Linked DNA regions of Caenorhabditis elegans. The protein of the gene in region 2 interacts with the protein of the main gene of each other region in a pairwise test. Each region holds a gene or a part of one and is shown on either strand. Other genes may lie near its edges.

Region 1 (6,897 bases), about 17 Mb from region 2:
TTCACATTTTTCGTTATTCCAGGTGCATTTTGCCTACCTATAGACCTTAAATATACCTAAATCAACGAAAAAACGTGCTATTAATGACAGAAATAAGACAAGATTCAATTAAAAATCAATTTTAATTAGTTCGAAAGTTTGAACCGTAATAAAAAAGTTTTGAAACATTTTTAAAATATCTCAATTCAAAATGTGTTTATTTTAGCATATTTCGAGTTTACACAAGCTATTTCATGAGATCAATCGATATTCTTCTCGCTTTAGTTGCTCCAAATCGATAATTACCTCTGGAAATTGCGTCCTGGCAATTTTCAGAGAGAGCGAACGCGCTCCATTGCGAACCATTTGATTTTGAAATTGATGACTCTCTCTCTGCAAGTGGTTACGCAATTTTCTTTGCTAACAGTTAATTTTTTTCTCAAAATCTGCTGGTTTGGCCCTGTCACTCTTAATTTAGGCCGTTTTCTCTTAGTCGTATTTTTCTACTTTTTTAAAAATTCTTACCAAGGGTGTAATTGGAGAAAATCGAGAAATTTCGATTTTTTAATCAAATTTTTTTTGTGGAGAAAAACATAAAAAGGCATATTATTTTCTTATAAAATGTGGGAAAACACCCCAAATTTTCAGCTATTTTCCGAGAAATCGACTTTGTTTTCGAAAAATCAAAAAAAAAAAAAAAAAAATTTCATTTTTTTGATAATTTTTATTCAAGTTGACGAGTAAAAACTATAAGGAAATCGATATTTTTCTTCAAAAATGTGGGAAAAATAGCCCAAATTTTAAGCCATTTTCCGGACAAATCTACAATTTTTTTTTTGAAATTTCAGAAAAATTTTAACAAGACTGTCAAAAAAAAATTCGGCTAAAAAAAAGAAACTGTTGGTTTTTTATCGTCATACCAACTAAAATATAACATTTTTGAAGAAAAAAAAAGAAGTTTTTTGGTCCGAAAAACCTAACAAAAATTCCATTTTTGGAAGTTATTTTCCTAAAAATCTAAATTTTTCTGGTGAAAATCGATGAACAAACTTTAAAAAAAAATCAAATTTTGTTTATGCTGATAAACATTATTTTATTCATTTTTGAGAAGATTTTTCAAAAAGTCGAAATTAAAAAAAACCGGCACCCCTTGAAGCTTATCTCCAATTCCAGACCACCCATACTTTGTCGGAGCCCAATTCCATCCCGAATACCTTTCCCATCCACTCACTCCATCTCCACCATTCTTCGGTCTTCTGCTTGCCGCAACTCGTCAACTTAATTCATATTTCTCTGGGTCAAGAAGTCCGGCTCTTCAAGTTGTAAATGAAGAGGAGCATCTTCATCATACAAAAGAGAATGACTCGGAGGAGAAGCGTGAAGATGTTGTTGGAGCAATGTTGGGGAAACTGAAACTCGAGGGAAATGCTGTGCCAGGAACTCAGAGATTGGCTTCTTTCCATTAATTGTTTCCTCAATTTTTCGTCGTTTTTTTTCACTTTTTTTGTAGTTGAGTAGATGATTTTGTCAGAAAATCGTCTTAAAATTTGCAGAAATTGACCGATTTTTTGCCTTTTTTTGAGCCAAAAATCCATTTTTCGAGCTGAAATCGCTGAATTTTTGGATTTTTTGCAGTTTTTGAGCCAAAAATCCATTTTTCAAGCTGACATTGCTGAATTTTTGGATTTTTGCTCTCCGAAAAGCTATTTTTTGTGCGAAAAACGGGAAAACGCTCAAAACTTGGTATTTTTCGATTTTTTTTTCAATTTTTGCCGTTTTTTGAGCTGCTTATCTTAAAATTTACATTTTTGCGCCAGAAAACTCATTTTTTCAGCCGATTTCCCAAAAATATGCCTAAAAAGGAACACTTTTACCCCGAAAAGTGGTTTTTTTTTTTGAGGCAAAAATGTTTTTAAAAATCCAAAATTTGAGCGAAATATGTAAAAAATGGCTTTTTCCACCAAAAAACTATTTTTTGATCTGAAATTGCGATATTTCAAGCTTTTTTTCCCAAAAACTGGCCTAAAAATACCAATTTCAGTCCAAAAAATTATTTTTTGACTCAAAAAATTGCCAAAATCCGCCAGAAAAACGAAAAATTCAGATTTTTGCAAATTTTGAGTCAAATTTTCGAAAAAATCGACCCTTTTTCGTCAATTTCAGACCATTTTCAGACAAAAATCCCTCCAGTTTTTGTTGTTTTTATTCTTATTTTCTGATATTCCAAAGATAATTTTCTTCTTTTTTTTCGCATTTTTCTCGTCGTTTTTGTCCTTTTGTTATCCTTGTTTCTGTTTTTTTTTCATTAATTTCTCCCATAGTCACCTTCATTTTTTCCCGGATTTATTCAATTGTTGACCCAGTTTCATAGATTTTGTTCTCTACCAACACCCGATGAACTTCGTTTTTAGAGTTTTTGATCACTTATTTTGGCGCCCAAAATTGTCTATTTTCTTGCCTCTTTTGGTTATCTTTTTCACGTTTTCAGACCCCGAAAAGTGATTTTCAGACCAAATTTTGTTTCCAGATGAGTGCTTATCATGTCGGGCAACTGGTCGACAAAATGTCGAATCCGGATAAGGATTTCCGGTTCATGGCTTGCAATGATTTGATGAAAGATTTGCAGACTGGAACTATCGCTTTGGAGGACGATTCGACTGCTAAAGTATAGTAAAATCTCAAAAATTGGCGGTTTTTGGTGCAAAAATTGCTTTAAAAAGCTAAAAAATAACCCTAAAAATTGAATTTTCCAGTGAAATTTTATTGTAATTTTGAAAAAAAAGGTGAAAAATAGCTAAAATCTGTACTTTCAACAGAAAAATCTGTTTGAAATTTCAAAAAAAATTTTAGCTGAAAATTGAAATTTCTACAAAAAAAATTCGAAACCGGCAAAAACCGTAATTTTCTACAAAAAAAATTATTTAAAAATCCGAAAAACTGCTAAATTCTGCTGTAATTTAAATTTTTAACGAAAAAAAAATTATTTAAAATTACAAAAAAAAACTGTTTATTTTGGCAAAAACCGGAAATTTCTGCCAAAAAATGTTGAAAATTCAAAAAATGGCTAAAATTAACTAAAAACCGCCGGAATTTAAACAAAAATTCCAAAAAAAAATTCAAAATTTAGCTAAAATCTGAATTTTCTAATTTTTTTCAGGTCATTCGTGCTCTAATCAAACTGCTCAGTGACTCAAACGGAGAAGTTCAAAATCTTGCGATCAAATGTATTGGACTCCTTGCTCAGCCATCGAAAATCAAAACGCATCATGTCAGTAATCGGAAAATTCAAAATTTTAATTTCGGTGTTTTTAACGGAAAAAATTGGAAAAAATACGACAAAACTGGAGATTTCAATGAGAAAAATACGAAAATTCCTTCAAAAAATTAAGAAATGACTGGAAAGTTTGAAAATTTCGTACAAAAAATGGAATTTTGGCTGGAAATTCGAATTTTCAGTCGATTTTTATATAAAATTTCAGAAAAGTCACATTTTCATTCAATTTTTGGAGGAAAACACGAATTTCCAGTCAAAGTTTGACAAAAAAGTCATTTTTTGGATGGATGGTCAAATTTTAAATCAATTTTTGTCGGAAAATTCGAATTTAAAATAAATTTTCAGCGTGAAATTCAATATTTCTACAATAAAAAGTTTAAAAAATTGGAATTTTCAGTCGAATTTCCACAGAAAGTTCAAAATTTCAGTAGATTTTTCAACATTTCAACGGGAAATTAAATATTTAACATTAAAAATTTTTGTTTAAAAAAATTATCATTAAAAATTTGAAAAAATCCCAAATTTCAGCTGGAATATCTCGTCGAAGAGCTCACTCCACACGTTTTTTCGAAAGCTGAACAATCAAGAGATATTCATTCTCTCACACTTAAAGCAATGATTCTAAATTTGGCTCCATCGGCTTCAAGTAATGCAACAACTACAGTTGTCAAGAGAATGTTGCCAAAATTTGTGGATTCTCTGTCGTTGTGTGCTCCAGATGATGCGGCTCGTGTCGATGTTCTCGATTTGATTGGAGAAGTTTTGCTGAGATTTGGTGATGTTGTAAGTGTGGATTTACACCCGGAAATCCTATTTTTTGGGCTTTTCAAGCCTTAAAATAGCCCAAATGAGCCTTTTTTGAGCTCAAATATCTTCAAAATTTCAAAAAAAATACCCCAAATCTAGCCAAAAACCGTCATTTTGCAGAAATTCCGTTTTTTTCTACATTTTGTCGTCAAGTCCGGTGTCTTGGCGGTGTTTGCTCACTTTTGAGGCTACAGTACTCTAGAAAACAGCCATTTTGCTCGTTACCGGGATTACTGTACCCTTAAAAGCACGCAAACACGACATATTGCGGAAAATATTGATTATTCTGCATTTTGCCGTCAAATCCGGTGTGTTGTCAGTGTTTGCGAATTTGTGGAGCTACAGTAACCCTAAAATTGAAAAATTGTCAGTTTTGGGTTTTTTAAACCAAACTTTCAAAAATTTTCCATTTTTTGCTTTAAAAACTCTGAAATAATGCCAAATTTCGAAAAAAAAACGAAAAATCCAACGCGATTTTTCAATTTTGGCTAATTTCCTCCAAAATGGGAATTGCGACCAATCAGCGATTCGCCCCGCCCACTTTTCAACCAATCAGATGGAATTCAGCCGAAATTTCACGTTTTTCCCGAATTTAAGACTATTTTGGCACTTTTTGAAGCAAAATCTCACACATTTCTAGTTCCAGGTTCCCGAAATGCACAAAGGATCGTTGAAAGTGATGGTAGATCACTTGTATTCATTCCGTTCCGCTATCAGAAAGAAGGCAATCACTGGAATCGGACATCTTGCCTCTGTAATCAACGGAGAGCTTTACGATGAGCTCGTTCAAGATTTGCTCAAAGAGCTGGCTCAACGATCCCCTCCATCGTCGGCTGCTCAAAATGTGCAACTTCGTACACTTGTGATCGCGTTGAGCACTGTCGCACGAGCCAGTGGATCGAGATTCTCGAAGCATACGCCGAAAGTTGTTCCGTTCCTTCTTCAATATCTTCAAATTGATCCTGGAACCGAATCGGAGCACGATGATCTACGGGAAGCTTCTATTCAAGGATTGGAAGTATTTTTGTACCGGAATCCACAGGAAGTTGTAGCTTTTGAGAAGGAAGTTATCCAACAGCTCACTGATGCACTGGCCTATGATCCGAATTACGAGTATGGAGATGATGATGAGGATGAGCAAATGGAAGATGATGAAGATGGTAGGAAACTGTGCGAAAATTGAAGATTTTAAAGATTTTTTAGCTGAAATTCTTGATTTTGGAGCTTTTTTTAGCCTTAAAGGTGGACTACGCTCAGTGGGGATATTGCTTTAAAACACGCCTATGGTACCACAATGACCGAATATCATGATAAAAAAATTCAAAAACATTTTTCTAGATTTTATATGATTTTTTGAAAATTGAAAAAAATATCAGTTTTTGCCTAATTCCTATTTGAATTTCCGCCAATTGAATTTGTTCGAGGGAGCGCGCTTGCACGTTTTTAAATTTATTTATTTATTTATTGTTATTTTCCACCAACTTTTAAAGTTTTCGGTGTATTTTTGCTCGAATTTTAGAGAAAAAGTCAAAATAAATGCAAATTTTCGATTAAAAAGCAAACGTACAGGCGTAAAAATGAAAAAGTAACGCTTTTAAACGATTTAAAACCTGAATTAACTAATTTCCTGGTAGCGTGCTTTTTAATCGAAAATTTGCAATTATTTTGACTTTTTCTCTAAATTCAAGCAAAAATACACCGAAAACTTTAAAAGTTGGTGGAAAATAACAATAAATAAAATAAATAAATTTAAAAACGTGCAAGCGCGCTCCATCGAACAAATCCAATTGGCGGAAATTCAAAAAGGAATTAGGGGAAAACTGCGATTTTTCCAATTTTCAAAAAATCATATAAAATTTGGAAAATTTTTTTGAATTTTTTAATCATGGTATTTGGTCATTGTGGTACCATAGGCGTGTTTTAAAGCAATTTCCTCGCTGAGCGTAGTCCACCTTTAAATATTCAAATTTTTTGCAGACGACGAAGATGAATACAGCGACGACGAAGACGTCACATGGAAAGTTCGCCGCGCCGCCGCAAAAGCCATCGAAGCAATGATCTCATCACACCGGGAATCCCTTCTCAATCTCTCGCAAAAAATCGGTCCAGTAGTGATTGGACGATTCAAAGAACGCGAAGAGACTGTCCGAACTGAAATCATCTCAGTCTACATTGCCCTACTCAATCAGATCTCCATTTTGGTCCCAGATTTGCAGAAGGCCGTTGTGGCCGCCGACGAGGATTCCATTGAAACTGATGATATTGTGGTGATTGGTGGAACCAAATTTTCGACGAATTATCTATCACGCAGCCAGTTGGCTATAATTCAATCGTTAGCTGATCAGAAAGATGTGCTTCTTCGTACAATCACAAAATCGATGAAAAAACACCCGAAAACTGGTCCAAAATGCATTGAACTTCTTTCGGCCCTAATTCGGACCTATCCATCAGGCCTTGAAGATAGTCTCGATGATATTATTCCGGCTGTATCCAACATTTTAACCGATAAAAATGCGTCGGCTCAGGGAAAAATGACTGTGCTCAGCTTCATTTCGAATGCCTTGACACTCAATAATCCGAAGAGATTCAAGAATTTGTTGAGCCCATTGACCACAATTATGACTCATTCAATTTCTGAGCCATTTTATAAAGTCTCAGCAGAAGGCCTCGCAGTGTGCTGTAAATATATTGATGTGCTCCGTGAGCTGTCGGCTTGTGGTGGAAATGAGGAGGCGAAGAAGTTATTGGTCGTTGTTGAGAAGAAATTTATGGCTAATGATACTGATCAAGAGGTTCGAGAGAGAGCTATCTCTGCTATTAGTATGCTGTTGGCGGCT
Region 2 (9,713 bases):
TTGCTTGATGATGATTGGTGACGGCATGAAGCGGTGGCGCAGTTGTTGGGTCACCTGGAAAATTGTTTTAAATTTTTGAAAATTGCAAAAATCTGCAGCGAATTTGGGTTTTTAATTGGCGTTGTTGTTGTTGTGCAACCGAATTTTTTTTTGAAAAACGGGAAGTCAAAAATTCGAAAAAAAAACTTAGGTTTTTCGAAAAATAGCTCGAAATTGAGCCCATTTTTATATTTTTGATTAAAAAAAAACATTTTTTTTCCGACATCCTCGACAATCTAAACACGATATATAAATCAATGTTCCTTTAAGAGTTGTGTAGATTTACGAGTACGTGTACTATGCGTGAATATTCATTTTTTGGCAACATTCACACTTTTTTCTCATTCTATATCGTATTTTTTGTTTCGTACTTCGATTTTAGCTTTAAAAAATATTTGAATATTTAAAATAAAAAATATAATGGAAAAATGCTCACCTCTGCCACCAGATTATTGTGATTCAACTTCTTTCGGGCCTTCATAATACGAACAATCGCCGCCTCCACTTCCAACTTTCGATCATCCTCAACTTTCTGGCGAGTTTCACGAATCTCGGGCTCCGATTCCACTTTTCCTGTCACCATTTGCACTTTGACACGTGTCAGCTTCGATTGGAAGTTGTCGTTGACGGCGAACTCGTCACTCATGTCTGGAAAAATTATAAATTGAAATTATCGATTTTTCTGGGTGCTTTTTTAATAGTTAACGTAAAATATTCCAAAAAACATAAATTTCCGTATGAAACAGTTCAAAAACGTGAAAAAGGCAAATTTTACTAGGGAATGGTGTTACCCCTGCAATCGCTAGGAGGACAAAACAAAGTGAAAATGGAAGATCAGATCTATGGCTACAAGAATCAGTTTTTGGAATCTGCTTAACTCGGTCCCAAAGCTGAAATTTTCGGTCTTAAAAAGTAGTCCTTTTTTTGCTCAAAATGCCGTTTTTCGTGTGTAGAAGTGGCTACATAAAAGTTTGGCACTGCAGCCGCCGTTCGAATGGCCGATTGGTGAACTCTTGTGCTCATTAATCTAAAGGTCACGGGTTCGTTCCCCACTAGGTATTAATTTTTTTTTGAATTTTTCCTCTAGCATGAAATATGCACAAAAACACGGTTTCTTCCGTTTTTTGGTAACTTCGGAATAAATTTTTTGGTTCCTGGGAATCATAAAAGTAATTTGGAAACTTTTTGGAAGTTTTCTTTTTTTGATAAATTTTCACTTTTCTCCCACCTGATGTATGCACATTTTTTTCTTCAAAAATAATTTTTCAAAATTTTTTCAAAAAGTGTTTGGTTTGAAAGAGCAGCATTAGTTTGGATATTTCTACGATTTTGGAGGATCAAATGTCATTTTTAGGAGAAAACCACTGTTGTTTTCTCTAGACTTTTTCACGAAAAGGACCTACTTTCAAAGACTTCCAGCTCCGTTGACGAGTAAAATAAAAAAGAGTTGTCAACTGCAAAGTTATTTTAAAAGTACCAATAAACAAATTGTCAGTTGAAGTTACTCTGCTAAATTTTATGGGTAGAGAGATATGGACATTAGTAATTAAGTAAGTTAAAGCTTCACTTCGATTAGCTATATCTCTCTACCCATAAAATTTAGCAGAGTAACTTCAACTGACAATTTGTTCATTGGTACTTTTGAAATAACTTTGCAGTTGACAACTCTTTTTTATTTTACTCGTCAACGGAGCTGGAAGTCTTTGAAAGTAGGTCCTTTTCGTGAAAAAGTCTAGAGAAAACAACAGTGGTTTTCTCCTAAAAATGACATTTGATCCTCCAAAATCGTAGAAATATCCAAACTAATGCTGCTCTTTCAAACCAAACACTTTTTGAAAAAATTTTGAAAAATTATTTTTGAAGAAAAAAATGTGCATACATCAGGTGGGAGAAAAGTGAAAATTTATCAAAAAAAGAAAACTTCCAAAAAGTTTCCAAATTACTTTTATGATTCCCAGGAACCAAAAAATTTATTCCGAAGTTACCAAAAAACGGAAGAAACCGTGTTTTTGTGCATATTTCATGCTAGAGGAAAAATTCAAAAAAAAATTAATACCTAGTGGGGAACGAACCCGTGACCTTTAGATTAATGAGCACAAGAGTTCACCAATCGGCCATTCGAACGGCGGCTGCAGTGCCAAACTTTTATGTAGCCACTTCTACACACGAAAAACGGCATTTTGAGCAAAAAAAGGACTACTTTTTAAGACCGAAAATTTCAGCTTTGGGACCGAGTTAAGCAGATTCCAAAAACTGATTCTTGTAGCCATAGATCTGATCTTCCATTTTCACTTTGTTTGTCCTCCTAGCGATTGCAGGGGTAACACCATTCCCTAGTTAGCAAAAAAAACCCAACTTTGCCAACTTTCCCATGTCCCATGGGAAAGTTGGCTGCAGCGATTGGAAATTGATTTTTTTTTCAAATTATCAATTTTTTTCAAAAAAATTCGAAAAACTATAATTTCCTTTTCATACCTATCGCATCTTTTCCCTTATTCTTTCTGACCAAAATCCGCTGCGACGCTTTTCCGAGAGCCAGCGACTGCAAATTCCTCTTCAACTCTCGCTCGGGAATCTTAAGCTCATCCATCAGCTGCTGACATGAGATCCGATTGTGATGGTTGAACTGAAGGAGAATGATCATCTGATGCGTATTGACCTGGAGAATCTTGTGCTCCGGTTTTCGTTCTTTCATCGACTCTCCACTGCTCGACGGTCCAGGACCATTTTCCTCGTTTGACATGGATGCTTTTGGTGGTGGATAGAATGTGGCTTTGACGTCAGCGTTTCCGAGAAGTGTGTTGATTGTCAGCTTACGGCCAGTGTGCTTTTCAGTGTAGTATTGTGTGAACATCTGAAAAACGAGGGGAAATTGAAGAAATTCCAAAAATCTTTGTGAAAAAATATTTTTTTAAAAATTGCCCTGGTTTTATATTTTAGCTTGAAAGCACGTTTAATCGCACCCAATAATATTTTTAAACTCGCGCCAGAGATATTCTCATTGGAGCGCACCGTGTTGTGTCGATTTACGGAGATTTCAGTTTTTCCACAAAAATGAAACATACTTATTGAAAAATTGAAATTGGCCTGAAAATTTCATGAGAAATCTCGTAAATCGACACAAGTGTGGCGGTCCAATGAGAATGTCTCTGGTGCGCGTGTGAAAAGCGATTTCAAGCAAAAATAATAGATATTCGGAATCTTTTTTGGCTTTTCTGGCAGAAAAATGGATTTCTAGGTATTTGGTCAGAAAAACTAGAAGAAACGTTTTTTTTTTGAATTCATCTCATCGCGACTGGAAATTAAATTTTGAAAAAAAAACATACTTGTTGTTTTTTGATTGGAAAAACCGAAAAAAATATATATTGTCTCTAAAATGCACATTTTTCTGTATAAAAAATCCATCTTTTGGCAAAAAACGACAACCCTGCGTGTAAGCAGACATTTTTGCGGGTTTTGTGAAACATCAAGCTCAAAAATTGCAAAACCAATTGAAAATTCGAATTACCTCATAGGCAACCGACAACTCTTGCGGCAACACAACCGGATTACACTGAACCGTCGGCCAAACGCCCGCCGTCAAAACTCTAAGCGATATGTCAATGCTCATTTTGGTCGGCTGAGCCTCTCGCCAGTCTCTGAAGCTTGTGGCCAGTGTCAGCCAAAGCTCCTTGTCTCTGAACATATTCTCAAGCTTCTGAGTAAACTGGCAACCACACTCTGTCTTCAGCTTTGCCAGCAGAGCCTTCTCCACATCGTCGGAGCACGATTTGTCGAGCAAGAGACGTTTGGCGAGGTATTGCTTGAAATACTTCTCGAATACATCCTTCTCCTGTAGATAGCGGAACAAGATCATCACATTGTCGAGCTTATTGTCCATTTCGGCGTCCGACACACATTTCAGACCGCTTCGCAGCATATCGTCCATGTAGAGGGCCACAAATTCCGGCGATTGGCGATTCGAGTTGAGGAACGTCTCGAAATCATGCTGGAAGCGATTCTTAAAGTCACGATCGTCGGCAAACGCAGTGGTGAGCAGACTGGAGAAGTAGTCTTTGAGCTGGAGCAATTCGTTGACAAAATTGACGGGGTTTTTGAGCAGATCCTCATTTTTCACAATGTTCGAGCCGGTTTCGTTGAGATATCTGGAAAAAAAAGTTAACTTTTCTTGCTGAGCAACCCCCAATTCTGCTCTAGTTTTCTGAATGCTCCGTGTTCAACTGTTAGGGTTGGTGTTATCTAAAAACTAAAACCACCAACAGCTGAGGCGTTTTAAGGAGAAGCGGCGGTGTTCGACGTAATGGACAACAGAACAAATAAACAGATTGCTGCGGGCGAGTGACACGGGTTTAGGTCAGAAAAGTAGAGTTTGATAAATAAAAATACAGTAAATTGGCTGGAATTTAAATTTCTTGAAGCGAAAACGTGGCCGCGAAACCTCTACTAACACGGCCATGTGTAGATTTACGCGACTCGTGTACTCCACGTGGATTATTTTTTACGGTTTCTGGCTGAAATGCTTGCATTGGTGGTGTTTTACCATTAAAATTAGAAATAATTTGAACGATTAAGCATTTTAGCTAAACACTGTAAAATCCTCTTCAAAAAAAGTGCCAAAGTAAAGTCTAGATTTAACCATCAAATACATAAATTTTCGAGGAGCACAAAAGCTGGTTAAACCGACACATGGAGCCATTTTGGGTGAAATTTTCAATTTTTTACAAAATAAAATCATTGAAATCTCCGCATTAAAGCAAAAACCCGTAATTTCTGGGGTAAAAAAACAAAATTTCCCCTCGAAGAGTACACAGGCTTCGTAAATCGACAGATAACCATGCTAGTGCCTTTTTGTGGTGAAAATTGTTCAAATTTTAATTTTACAACGTTCCTCCCACGGCTGTAATCACCAAATAATTCAATTTCTAAAAAAAAATCGCGCGAAAAACTCACTCGCTAACCGCCTTAAGCAGCGCCTTCAATCCACCACCCGGTACTGTCACCGAATCTCCGATACGTTTGAAAATACGGAAAATGCGAGTCAAATCCTCAATCTTCTTGTGCTCCAACATAAACTTCACACCACCATTCTGCATGTAGACAATCGTCTGAATATGCTCAGCAACCATCACATCATCCATCACCTGCAGGATTTTGGCCTCTGTCATTTTGTCAAGATATCTCGACGCTCGGCTCGCCTCGTCGTGCATCGCAATCTCCACCTGTGCCAGATAGAAGCACGCGTCATTGTCGCCAGAAAGCCAATTCTTGCACACATCCCGATAGTAATCACTAGTCTCCTTCAGAAGTGGCCTCTCAAATTCGTCCTCATAAACCGTCCGGCTATCGATTCCTAGCGAGATGAGCATATCACACGCGTTTTTTATTCCGTGCCAATTGATTTGATTCGATTTTCGATCCAATTTGATAAGCTCCAGAAGAGCATCGCGAATTCGGTCGCCAATCCCGTTTTGCCGCAGAATTTCCGTCCGATACGCGTCGAGACCCAGATTATAGACCGGCAGGACGTGATTATTCTGTGCCACGTAGATCCGATCCATATACATCAGAATATCACGAATCATGACCATGGCGACAGTGTGATCAGCCCACGATTCGGCGACAGTCTCCAGGAAGCTTCCAGAATTCATTGATTCGATAATTCGAATTCGAACCGACGCCATATGATCCTGAATCACGTCTTTCAGGCCATTATAGAGACGTTCTCCGTGCTTGTGGAGCACCATTGTATATGCGTTGCGGTAGAGCTCCTCGAAACTCAAGCCCGAATTGTTTTTGCGTTGGATTTCCTGTATGGCACGCTTCAAAAGTTCCCATGTCTGTGTCACATATTGCTCGTCTATTGTGGCCTGAAAAAAAATCATTTTTCTCCGTTTTTTTTTTGCGGCTTTTCTAAATTTTGGGCATTTTCCTTAAATGACCAAAAACTGGCCCGACTATTAAAAAATTTCCAAAATTTCATTATAAGAATTCAAAATTTTCGGAAAAGCGCCAAAATTTGCTAAACTCAGGGATTTTCCAGCTAGAAAAGTTTACGAAATATCAGATTTTAGCAAAATTTGGCAAAAATTTTGGAACTTTTTTGGGATGAAATTCGGTAAATTTCGATCAAAAATGCGTTTTTTTTTCGTGAAAAAAACGCGAAAAACTCTTATGTGAGGTCATTTTTGCGAGAACATTGCCGTTTATAACAAATTTCATGTTTCTAATGGCTAGTCCAAGCAAATAGGAAAAAAAATAGAAAATCGATAAAAAACGGCGGAAATACGATTTTACAGTTTTTCTCTTCGTTTTTTCCTGGTTAAACGGTCAAAAACAATTATTGACCATTAGAAATCCCTCAGAATCGATTTTGTTATATGAAAAAAAAATATTTTGCTTTTGTTCTTTAGAAATGACGAGTTTTGGCACGTGGCACGCAAACTGAAAATGATTGCCACGTGGCATACAGTTGCCAGTGGAAAAATATCAGTTTCTCATCAGAAATTGACGGATTGTTCGGATATCGCGGATAATTCGGCCGTAACATTCCAAGTTTCGTTTTAAAAAAATCGATTTTTCACGCAAAACAAGGAGACAGGCTTGATAGAGGACTAAAATCTGTGTGTGTAAACCTACCATAAATGGGCGAATTCTCATTTTTTGTTGTCCACCATTACCGGAGCGTCCGCTCATCTCCAAAAATGAGTCGATTCCGAACGAACTGGTCAAGTCAGAATCTCGCTCGTTTTTCGTGCACACTGAAATAAACTTGATTTTCCGTTCTCGAAAAGCAAAAAATTTGAAAAAATCGTACTGCGGAATGTTATTATTGCAGAAAAAGCGCGCACTGATAACAGAAAAAACAAAACTAACTATTTTCAGCTTCAAAGTTGAGAAGTCGCGAGTAATTCGAAATAAATCGATTTTGCTTTGTTTTTTTTTCGAAAAAACTTTGAAAATCCGGTAATTAGAATGTCACGCAAAAATAAATAGCTGGATATCAACTTAATTACTCGGAAAAATCAATATCATTATCTCGAAAGTCACTGGAATTTTAATTTCGCGCGTTTTTCCAGAACTTTTTGCCTATTTTCCGGCTCAATCAATCAATATTTCACTTCGAATCAAGTCTAAAACACCTTTAAAAGCTTCAATTTCGAAAAAAACTATGAAAAATGCGAGAAAAATCGAACGGGAACAGTGTGTTTTGGAGTTCAGAAGTGCACCGAGACTGCGTCAATGCGGGTTTGCTGGCGCGCTCCTCGTGCGTTGGCGCTTTTCTCGTGAGGAAGCTTTAAAAATTAATTTTCAACCAGAATTTTAGAATTTTCAGAGAAAATTGGCGGTGTCCACGTGGAAAAATAAATAGTGTTTTCGGTAGAATAAACTTTAAATTTATTTAAAAGTACAAAATTTGTGGAAAGCCCTCGAAAATCGGTTGAAAACGATCTAAAATGATTAAATTTACTTAATAAATTAACAATATTCGCTGTTTCAAATTAATAGAAAGTCGCAAAATAAATATTTTTATTTGAAAATAAGATGATGTTGAAATTGGAAATTTGAGAAAAAACAAGAATTTTAAAAAAATCAGAAAAATAAATAAAATTATAATTAGCCGAGTCGAAGTTGACGTTGAGAAGAGGAAGTTGAGTGATCTGAAAAAAGAAACAGTTTAATAAACGAAAACGAGTTTTAATACTTCAGGAAGGAGTACAGAAATATACAACATTTCCTATTCAAGCGGAAAACGGAAATTATGGGGTGTTTAGGGTGGCGGAAGAAGCTGGGATCAAATCATTCATACAGTTCAACTACAATGATTCGAGTCATGGCTTCCTGGATCTTATTACTTTTTATTCTGAATTTTTTAATTTCCTGTAAGTTTTGCCAAAAGCTAGGATTTTTTGAAGGCGTAAAAATCGTGTTTTGCCATAAATCTGAGTAATCTTACAATTAGTAAGCTGAGCGTAATTGTTCAAAAAATGGTATAATTTTTCACAATTTTTCTCAATTTTGCACCAATAATTCAAAAATGGTCAATTTATTATTTCGAAATTTCTGCGTTTTAGGCTTTAGGCTAAGAGAAAATCCAATAAATATTGCAGGAATACGCAAAAAATAGAATTCATTCGCGCAGGAATTCAAAATTAATGTGGTCATTTCTAATTTTTTTTGCGAAATTTAAAAATAATAGCAATTATATACAGATTTTTTTCACTGTTTTCTCTTTTTTTGCAATTAAAGTCAGGGCTACCGTACTCCTGGTGGCTCGTGTTCTTCACCGTGTATATTACGGTAACGCAAAATTCTGAGAATGCGTATTGCGCAGCAAATTTGACGCGCAAAATATCTCGTAGCGAAAACTACAGTAATTTTTTTAAAAATTGCTACTGTAGCGCTTGTGTCGATTTACGTGCTCGATTTTTGAAATGAATTTGTTTCCGAATAGTGATATCGATATTTTATTTTCCTCCGCGCCTGCATAGTATTTTCTAAATTTTTTGCTCAATTTTAATCGAGCCCATAAATCGACACAAGCGCTACAGTAGTAATTTAAAAAATTACTGTAGTTTTCGCTATGAGATATTTTGCGCGTATACGTTTCGTAATACGCATTCTTCGAATTTTAGTCTCCTGTAATTTCAAAGGGGGCGAGGGAGGCAACCGAACATTTTCGGAAATTATCGAATTTCCGTACGAAAAATACTGTCTATTCCTGTTTCAAAAGTATCAATAATGATTCAATATTTCCCGCCAAAACCAATATGAATTCAACAAAAAAAGCAGTGAAGCCCTTTTATTTCCGGTGTGCATCAAAAGTTCTCCTGAACTTTGTTGCCCAATCTCTGAGTATATCGTGAGATATTTTATATACTTTTGGGACGAAAAAAAATGAAAGGACATTCATATTCCGGCTTGCACAAATAGTAGTAGCACTACAAAATTTCATTGAATATGTAGGCGTGACGTAGTTAGAAGCCTATCTTTGTTATATCATAAAGATTAAGAATTTAACAATTATTCACCTAACAACAAGGAGGTGTGATAGACCGACATCATTTTGTGCTCGAATTAGAAAAAAATTGGATTTTTTCACAAATTCATTTTCTTCGAGATGTCTCATTTGAAAGCTTATATTCAGATTTTTCAGACTATTACACAAATTCAAACACCTGAAACTTCGATCTGAAATTTTCAGTGTATTTTCCACTTTGTTCAGAGCATGTAGAATTTTTAGAAAGTGGATAGAATCTACCAAAAAATCAGATTTTTTCAAAAAGATGCCAAAACGTTTGCCTATTCTTGAAAACCTCCAAAATTCAAAAGTCAAAATAAAAAAAAAACATTTTTTGTGCCTCTACAGGCCATGAAAGTAGTGAAAAATGCACTGAAAATTTTCAATTCAAAATTTCTATGTGATAAGCTTCATCGTTTAATTTTTCGAGAACAATGATATATTCTAAATGTAAACCTTCAAATGATACATTTCTAGATTTAGAATTTAATCTGAATTCCAGAAAGCCACAAAAGAAAAAAGACAAAAATCGCGAAAGAATAAAGAATACAGTATTTGAATTCCTTCCAAAATGAGAACTGCGACCAATCAGCGATTCGCACCGCTCTTTTCCGACCAATCAGACAGAGTAGGCGGAGTTCGGAAATGCTAATTG
Region 3 (6,769 bases), 2.5 Mb from region 2:
AGGTGAAACGATGATGACGACGAAAAAGTGAAAATATGGCCTAGAACTGGATTCAAAACCTTTTCGTTTTTTGTTGAAATTTTTGGAAAATTGACATAACGGTATGTCCCGAGAAGTGGTACGAAATTTGCCTACCACGGGGTTCTGGCCTTCCTCATTGCATTTTTCGCGCTCCACTGACAACCGCCTGACGGACACCGCGTGGGAAAGCCGTGTACTCCACACACGGACAACGAAATTTAGTTTTACAACTAAAATCGAACCGCGACGCGACACGCAACGCGCCGTAAATCTACCCCAGATATGGCCGAGCCAAAATGGCCTAGTTCGGCAAAACCCTTACATTTCAATTTATGAAGGAAGCCAGAATTCCGTGTAAAAATTAGAGAATTTTTTTTTTCGATCATTTTGTTTTTCAAATTTCATAAAATGAAGGTGTCGTTTTTAAGAGTACCAGTTCTCGGGCCGTGATGATATTACGGGAACACAAAATTCTGAGAATGCGTACTGCGCAGCATATTTGACGCGCAAAACATCTCTTAGCGAAAACTACAGTAACTCTTTAAATGACTACTGTAGCGCTTGTGTCGATTTACGGGCTCGATTTTTTAAAATGATTTTCTTTTCGAAAAAAATCTACTGGATTTTAATATTCTATAGACTCGGAAATGGAGCCCGTAAATCGACACACCAGCGCTACAGTAGTCATTTAAGGGGTTACTGTAGTTTTCGCTACGAGATATATTTTGCGCGTCAACTATGTTATGCATGCGCCAAAATTTCAGTCTGCAGAATATTACCCAAAACCGACATTTTGTAATTTTTGCGCCAAGAATACTGTGCCCTGGTCTCGGCACGACAAATTTTTGTTGAATGCGAAAGAGTTCTGTAGTTTTAAAATTTCAATGCGGCGGCGGGGTTGTAATCGTTTTTTATAGGTTTTTTGTAGTTGAATTTTTATCGAAAAGCTATAAAAATCGACGAAAATCCGGCAGCAACGAAAGTTCCAAACTACAGTACTCCTTAAAAGCGCACACCTATTCGCATTTGACAGAAATTTGTCGTGTCGAGACCAGGGTACCGTATTTTTGGCGTAAAATTAAGAGAATTTCAGAAAAATCACGTGGTGTCAGAATGCCCCATAACGGTTTGATCTACAAAAATGCGGGAATTTGGACGCAGACTTCTCAATTGATTTTGCATGGTTAAGAACGTGCAGATGGCGTCACATTTTTTGGTGGAAAAAATCCCGCATTTTTTGTAGATCAAACCGTTATGGGACAACCTGACACCATGTGAAAATTGCAATAAACGGGTAAAAAGACGCACAGCATTTCACACAAATGATTATTGTAAAAATATTTCGTTCGTGGCGAGACCTTTTTCACAAACAATTTACAATAGTCCAAAAAATTTCAGCATACTGGAAAACCAGGCCAGATTGAATGCTCCCGAGTTTCGGCGGGGGGTGCGTGTAACTACTCGGTTTGTTTGACAATTTGGAAGAGCTGCGAGAGAGCGAAATAGTGTTGATTTTGGGGAGTGCGCAGAACGGGTGAGCTAGATTTTCGGGTTGGTTGCACGTTTTTTTTCTTGCTCGGTTGTGCATGAGACGCGCGCGAGCAAGGGTCGACCTGAGTTTTTGACACGTCACAGTTATAGATACCATGCATTTAAAAAATAATTAACAATCGAATCTCAAATTTCATGTATTTTAACAAATAAATAGCCAAAGTATTTTAACAGAACAAATGAAAAAAACAAAAAAAATTCGGTGCCTCATGCTGGAATCGAACCAGCGACCTTCTGTTTACTAGACAGACGCTCTGCCACTGAGCCAATGAGGCGCTGGGTGAAAGGGGGAAAAAGGTCGAAGAAGAGACTTATGTCGCTGCCGCTGCCGGCGTCGCACGAAGACTATACTTTCGGCGGTCGTAAAATTGCCGGCACACGCCAACCATAATTGTCGTACGAGATACTTGAACGAAGAATGTGACGTCGGCGTCTGGAATCATTGATTTTTTGATTTTTTTGAAATTTTTTCAGATTTTTAGAGACACTAACGATTTAGGCTAACTCTCGCAGTCGGAGCCAGCGCACAAACGGCGTCATCGACCATTTGGAGCACGGAATTCTTCGCCACAGAATCGTTATTTCTCGCTTTAAATTCCACGGAATACGTGGGAAGTTTGCCAGTGCCGTCTGCCTTCAATGTGTCGGAGATTACCTGAAAAATTACTTTTTTTTATTTTATTAATTAATTTAATTAAATAAAAGCACCTTCATCAAAACTTCATTCATTTTTGAAAGATCCACAGCTAAAGTATGCTCCACCGGGTAAACTCGTTGCAAAAACCTGCAACGCGGAGCTTTTTGCGTCAGCTCGACCATTTTTTCGGCTAAAAGTTGAATATTCGCGTTTTTCACGCTCACAAAAATGCAATTCTTCACTCCCGTCGGTCTTTGAATGCATCTTCTCTCTTTTTTCACGAAATTTCCCGGCTTCGGCTGCCTCTGATCATCACAAGCCTTTTTCAACGCATCGGCAATGTCTTCATCGGAATCTTCAGCTTCTGCTGGATTTCCGGGTGCTTCTGAGCCTTGTGGAGCAGCTTCTGGTGCTTTAAGAGAGATTCCATTCGCCGGGTCTTCGAGAAGCTCGTCAATAATACTGTAGGCTTCTTGTAGGGCCTGCTTTTCGTGGCCTTCGCAGGAAAAGAATAGTCCGGTCACTCCGGCTTCCACAGATTTTTGTTTAACTCTGAAATTGTCTTAGAATAGTTTTTTTTTCTCAAATTTTAGCTCTCACTTTTGATTCCATCGGTTATGCTTTCGTTTTCTGTCGTTATCTGCCATTTTCAGTGATTTTTTCTGGAAAAATTGAAATTTTTGAATGAAAATTATTGTTTTTGAAGTTTTTTAACGAAAAATCAACGAAAAATGCGAAAAAAACACATAAAAACAATTAAAAACAAAAAAAAACAATTAATATTCCCTCCAACTTCTCTAAATCTCTTCTCTCTTGCACGTAACCACAGAGCGCGTTTGCACACCTTTAATTGCAGAGTCACCACCACTTTATGTGAAACAAACTACGAAAAAGAGGCGGTTCTTTACAGCGAAACTTGAAAAGAGCAGCCTCACTTGATAATTAGATGAAAAAATTTTGAATATACATTTACTATTTTGACGGAAACGCTGGAATTTGCGAAAATTTCGTGATGGCGTGCAAAATGACCCGCACCTTTTTCCGGTATTCTTCTTCTAGAAAATATATATTTCCTGAAAAAAAAGCTGAAATTCACAATTTTTCGAGCAATTTTTGATGTATAATAAGTATATATCCCGAACAATTTACCAGTTTTTTCCCGATTCACCAGTAAATTTGCTTCACATTTGAACTGAACTATAGGTTATCTCGAGATTTTTATCTATGTACCATGTGTTGCGACATTACGAAAAAAACGAGTTCCGACACAAAGGCCATGCAATTAGGTAGTAAATTGGGTGACTAACTGTGTGACGCGGCTATTATGGGTACGCAGAAAAATCCACGTGGAAACGCGCTCCACTGCCAATAGGAAATTCTCGGCCCCCGCACCATGACCCGCTAGGTGTTTGGCGGCAAAATAGTACATTCGAACGTTTTGGATTAGTTATGCCGATTTCGCCGGTTTCCAAGAATTTTTTGCCATTTTTTTCCTGTTTCAAATTTCCCGTGGTTTTAATGTTTTTAGGCCAAATTGGTGTTTTTAGGCCAAAATGACGAATTTCTGATTACCCTCATAAATTGAAATGGAAGAGTTTGCCAAACTAGGCCATTTTGGCTCGGCCATTACTGGGGTAGATTTACGGCGAGTTGAGTGTCGCGCCGCGGCTCGATTTTAGTTGTAAAACTAAATGCATTTGTCCGTGTGGAGTACACGATTTACCCACGCGTTTTCCTTCGGACGATTATCAATGGAGCGCAAAAAATTCAATGAGGAAGGGTAGAACCCCGTTATTTCGGCAATTTTCCTGTTTTAATGATTTTTAGGCCAAAATCACGGGGTTCTGTCTTTCCTCAGAGAATTTTTCGCGCTCCATTGACAATCGCCCGGCGGACAACGCGTGTTAAAATCGTGTACTCCACACGGACAAATAGACTTAGTTTTACAACTAAAATCGAGCCGCGACGCGACACGCAACGCGCCGTAAATCTACCCCACTTATGGCCGAGCCAAAATGGCCTAGTTTGGCAAACTCTTCCATTTCAATTTATGAGAGGGAAGCCAGAAATCCGTGGTAGCTTACAAAATGAAATTCCAGAAAAAGTAAAATAGTTACCACCTACCGTATTAGAGCTTGACGGCATAGTTGGCGCCTCCGCGGTAGATCTGTTGAAGGTCCACATGTTTTTTTTTCGTGGTGTGTGTCGCCTGTCAGTCTGGTATTCTAGATGCCAGCTTCTTCCTCTCTCGATTCACTTCCCGCCCCCTGATTTTTTTGTGTGTGTCTGCGCCCCCACAGTGTCTCTCTCAACCTGTCTTGTACGTCCTGCGTCTTTTGTTACAGCTTCTGGTATCTTCTGAATATACCACAGCAGGAGGGGGACAGTCAGTTGATTGGCAGACAAAAACATGGCAATTATTTAGTGACAAGCTTTATGATTGTAGGCTTTAGGGTCTGGAGACTTGGGGATAGGACCCTGAACGGGATGTTTTGTTGAGGATGGGCACTTTGACCTCCAGAAAGCGCGGGAAATTATTGAAATTTGTGACGTCATATGAGTTTATAATGAGGCGCCAGTAGGTCAAACGATTTCTGTAGGTCAAGCCCTGAATAATGTCCGTCACAGTCGGCTGGTGCGTTGGAGCACATTTGATTATATTCAGGCCATTTTGACTCGGCCACGGCTGGGGTCGATTTTTGCCGGAATTGAAAATTTTCGGCAAATCGGCAAAATGCCGGAATTTAAAATTTTCGGCAAATTGGCACATTACCGGAAATGAAAATGTCCGGCAAATCAAGAAATCGCCGGAATTGACAATTTAGGACAAACTGGCAAATTTGCCGGAATTTAAAATTTCCGGCAAATCGGCAAATTGCCATAATTGAAAATTTCCTGCACATCGGCAAACTGGCGGAATAGAAAATTTCCGGCAAATCGGGAACTCGCCGGAATTGACAATTTCCGGCAAATCGGGGAGTTGCCGGAATTGAAAATTTCCGGCAAATCGGCAAACTGGCAAATTGCCGGAGTTGAAAATTTCCGGCTAATCGTGAAATTTGCCGGAATTCAAAATTTCCGGCAAATCGGCAAAATGGCAAATTGCCGAATTTGAAACCTTCCTTTGCCGAACTGCAATTTCCGCTCACCGATTTTCAATGGAGCGCGAAAAACCGCTACTAGAAGCCCGTGATGATGATCTACTGTAGATCAATGTGAAATTTTTCCCGCGTCCGGGCATAGAACAAAAATTTTATTTTTTAAAAACCAGCTTCTCTTCCTCCTAAAATTTCCCTTTTTATCGCCCTACCCCTCCCCCTTCAACCCAGATTTCTCTTATCACCCCCCCCCCCCCCCCATCACTAATTTTCTAATTTTCCTTTCACTTTCATACAGTAAGCGGCAAAAAATAATTGCGAAGAAATAATAATTCATTACATATTGAGAATTTCGGGGGACTACTAGATAGAGATAACCGGTGCTGCAGCAGCTCCAATAAGCTTCTTCTCCTCGGCCTTCTTTTTGAGCCAGTCGAGAATGTTCTTGTCACGACGAATCGCCACTGAATCCGTTGTCAGGGACTGAAAGATTAGTTTTTAGTGAAGCCCTAGGTACCTAGGCACAAAAATGCCTGCCTGCTTCCAAGCCGGCCTAGATCTTTTCTCACCTGTGGTAGTACTCCGCGCTTGAAGTTGTTCGAGACAAATGAGGTATACAGACCGGAGAATCCCGAGAAATTGGTGACCAAGTCTGAGGAGAAGCACAGGTACAAAGTGTTGCTCGTCGATGTTATTGGAGCTGGCATATTCTTTCCGGAATAACTGAAAAAATGGTTATTTTATAGTATCCTTGGATTAAGATCAGTGGGGGATATGGTCGGGGTACTGTAGGAGTATTGTAGGATTACTGTAGTTTAGGAACACTTGAGTTTTTGTCTTTTGAAGGGATATTGGTTTAGGGTCAGTGGGGGATATGGTCGGGTACTGTAGAATTTCTGTAGTTTAGGCAAAATTGAGTTTTTGTCTTTTGAAGGGGTATTGGTTCAGGGTCAGTGGGGGATAAGGTCGGGGTACTGTAGAGGTACTGTAGGATTACTGTAGAATTACTGTAGTTTAGGCAAAGTTCAGTTTTTGTCTTTTGAAGGTATGTTGGTTTAGGGTCAGTGGGAGATATGGTCGGGGTACTGTAGTAGTACTGTAGGGGTACTGTAGTAGTACTGTAGTAGTACGGTAGAGGTACTGCAGGAGTACTGTAGGATTACTGTAGTTTAGGAAAAATTGAATTTTGTCTTTTGAAGGGATATTGGTTTAGGGTCAGTGGGGGATATGGTCGGGGTACTGTAGGAGTACTGTAGGATTACTCTAGAGTATGATATTTGATATGAAATATAGCAATATTGGTAGGTAGTCATAAAAACTATGGAGTTTTCTGTTTTTCTGCTTTAGTTAGATCCAATTACGGCTTTTTATTGAGACTAGGTTTCAGATCGCCTGCCTACCTTAGTCCGCTTTAGGTCGACCTCTCGCCTACCTACCCCTACCCCCTGTCTAACTTACTGTC

What was found.
Region 1: the proteins of cul-3 (region 2) and cand-1 interact in a two-hybrid assay, tested with the Caenorhabditis elegans proteins (one study listed by BioGRID).
Region 3: the proteins of cul-3 (region 2) and kel-8 interact in a two-hybrid assay, tested with the Caenorhabditis elegans proteins (one study listed by BioGRID).

The regions. Positions count from the first base shown.
Region 1 is NC_003283.11:16,800,368-16,807,264, forward strand, and holds the start of cand-1 (Cullin-associated NEDD8-dissociated protein 1), read left to right. Parts: upstream 1-2,504; 5' UTR 2,505-2,506; coding exon 2,507-2,644; intron 2,645-3,136; coding exon 3,137-3,247; intron 3,248-3,781; coding exon 3,782-4,036; intron 4,037-4,706; coding exon 4,707-5,220; intron 5,221-6,037; coding exon 6,038-6,897. Other genes in the region: ctps-1 (CTP synthase), read left to right, coding at 1,153-1,445.
Region 2 is NC_003283.11:174,663-184,375, reverse strand, and holds the start of cul-3 (Cullin-3), read right to left. Parts: upstream 6,798-9,713; 5' UTR 6,733-6,797; coding exon 6,676-6,732; intron 5,907-6,675; coding exon 4,990-5,906; intron 4,185-4,989; coding exon 3,548-4,184; intron 2,894-3,547; coding exon 2,515-2,893; intron 688-2,514; coding exon 476-687; intron 55-475; coding exon 1-54. UniProt on the Caenorhabditis elegans protein: Probable core component of multiple cullin-RING-based BCB (BTB-CUL3-BTB) E3 ubiquitin-protein ligase complexes which mediate the ubiquitination and subsequent proteasomal degradation of target proteins.
Region 3 is NC_003283.11:2,669,088-2,675,856, reverse strand, and holds the start of kel-8 (BTB domain-containing protein), read right to left. Parts: upstream 4,394-6,769; coding exon 4,334-4,393; intron 2,872-4,333; exon of another isoform or gene 2,857-2,871; coding exon of another isoform or gene 2,810-2,856; intron 2,762-2,809; coding exon of another isoform or gene 2,281-2,761; intron 2,228-2,280; coding exon of another isoform or gene 2,065-2,227; intron 2,006-2,064; coding exon of another isoform or gene 1,884-2,005; exon of another isoform or gene 1,690-1,883; intron 1-1,689. Other genes in the region: thum-1 (THUMP domain-containing protein), read right to left, coding at 1,884-2,005, 2,065-2,227, 2,281-2,761, 2,810-2,856; W02G9.4 (CUB domain-containing protein), read right to left, coding at 5,671-5,790, 5,877-6,030, 6,766-6,769. UniProt on the Caenorhabditis elegans protein: Substrate-specific adapter of a BCR (BTB-CUL3-RBX1) E3 ubiquitin ligase complex that regulates degradation of glutamate receptors in neurons. The BCR(kel-8) ubiquitin ligase complex mediates ubiquitination and subsequent degradation of rpy-1.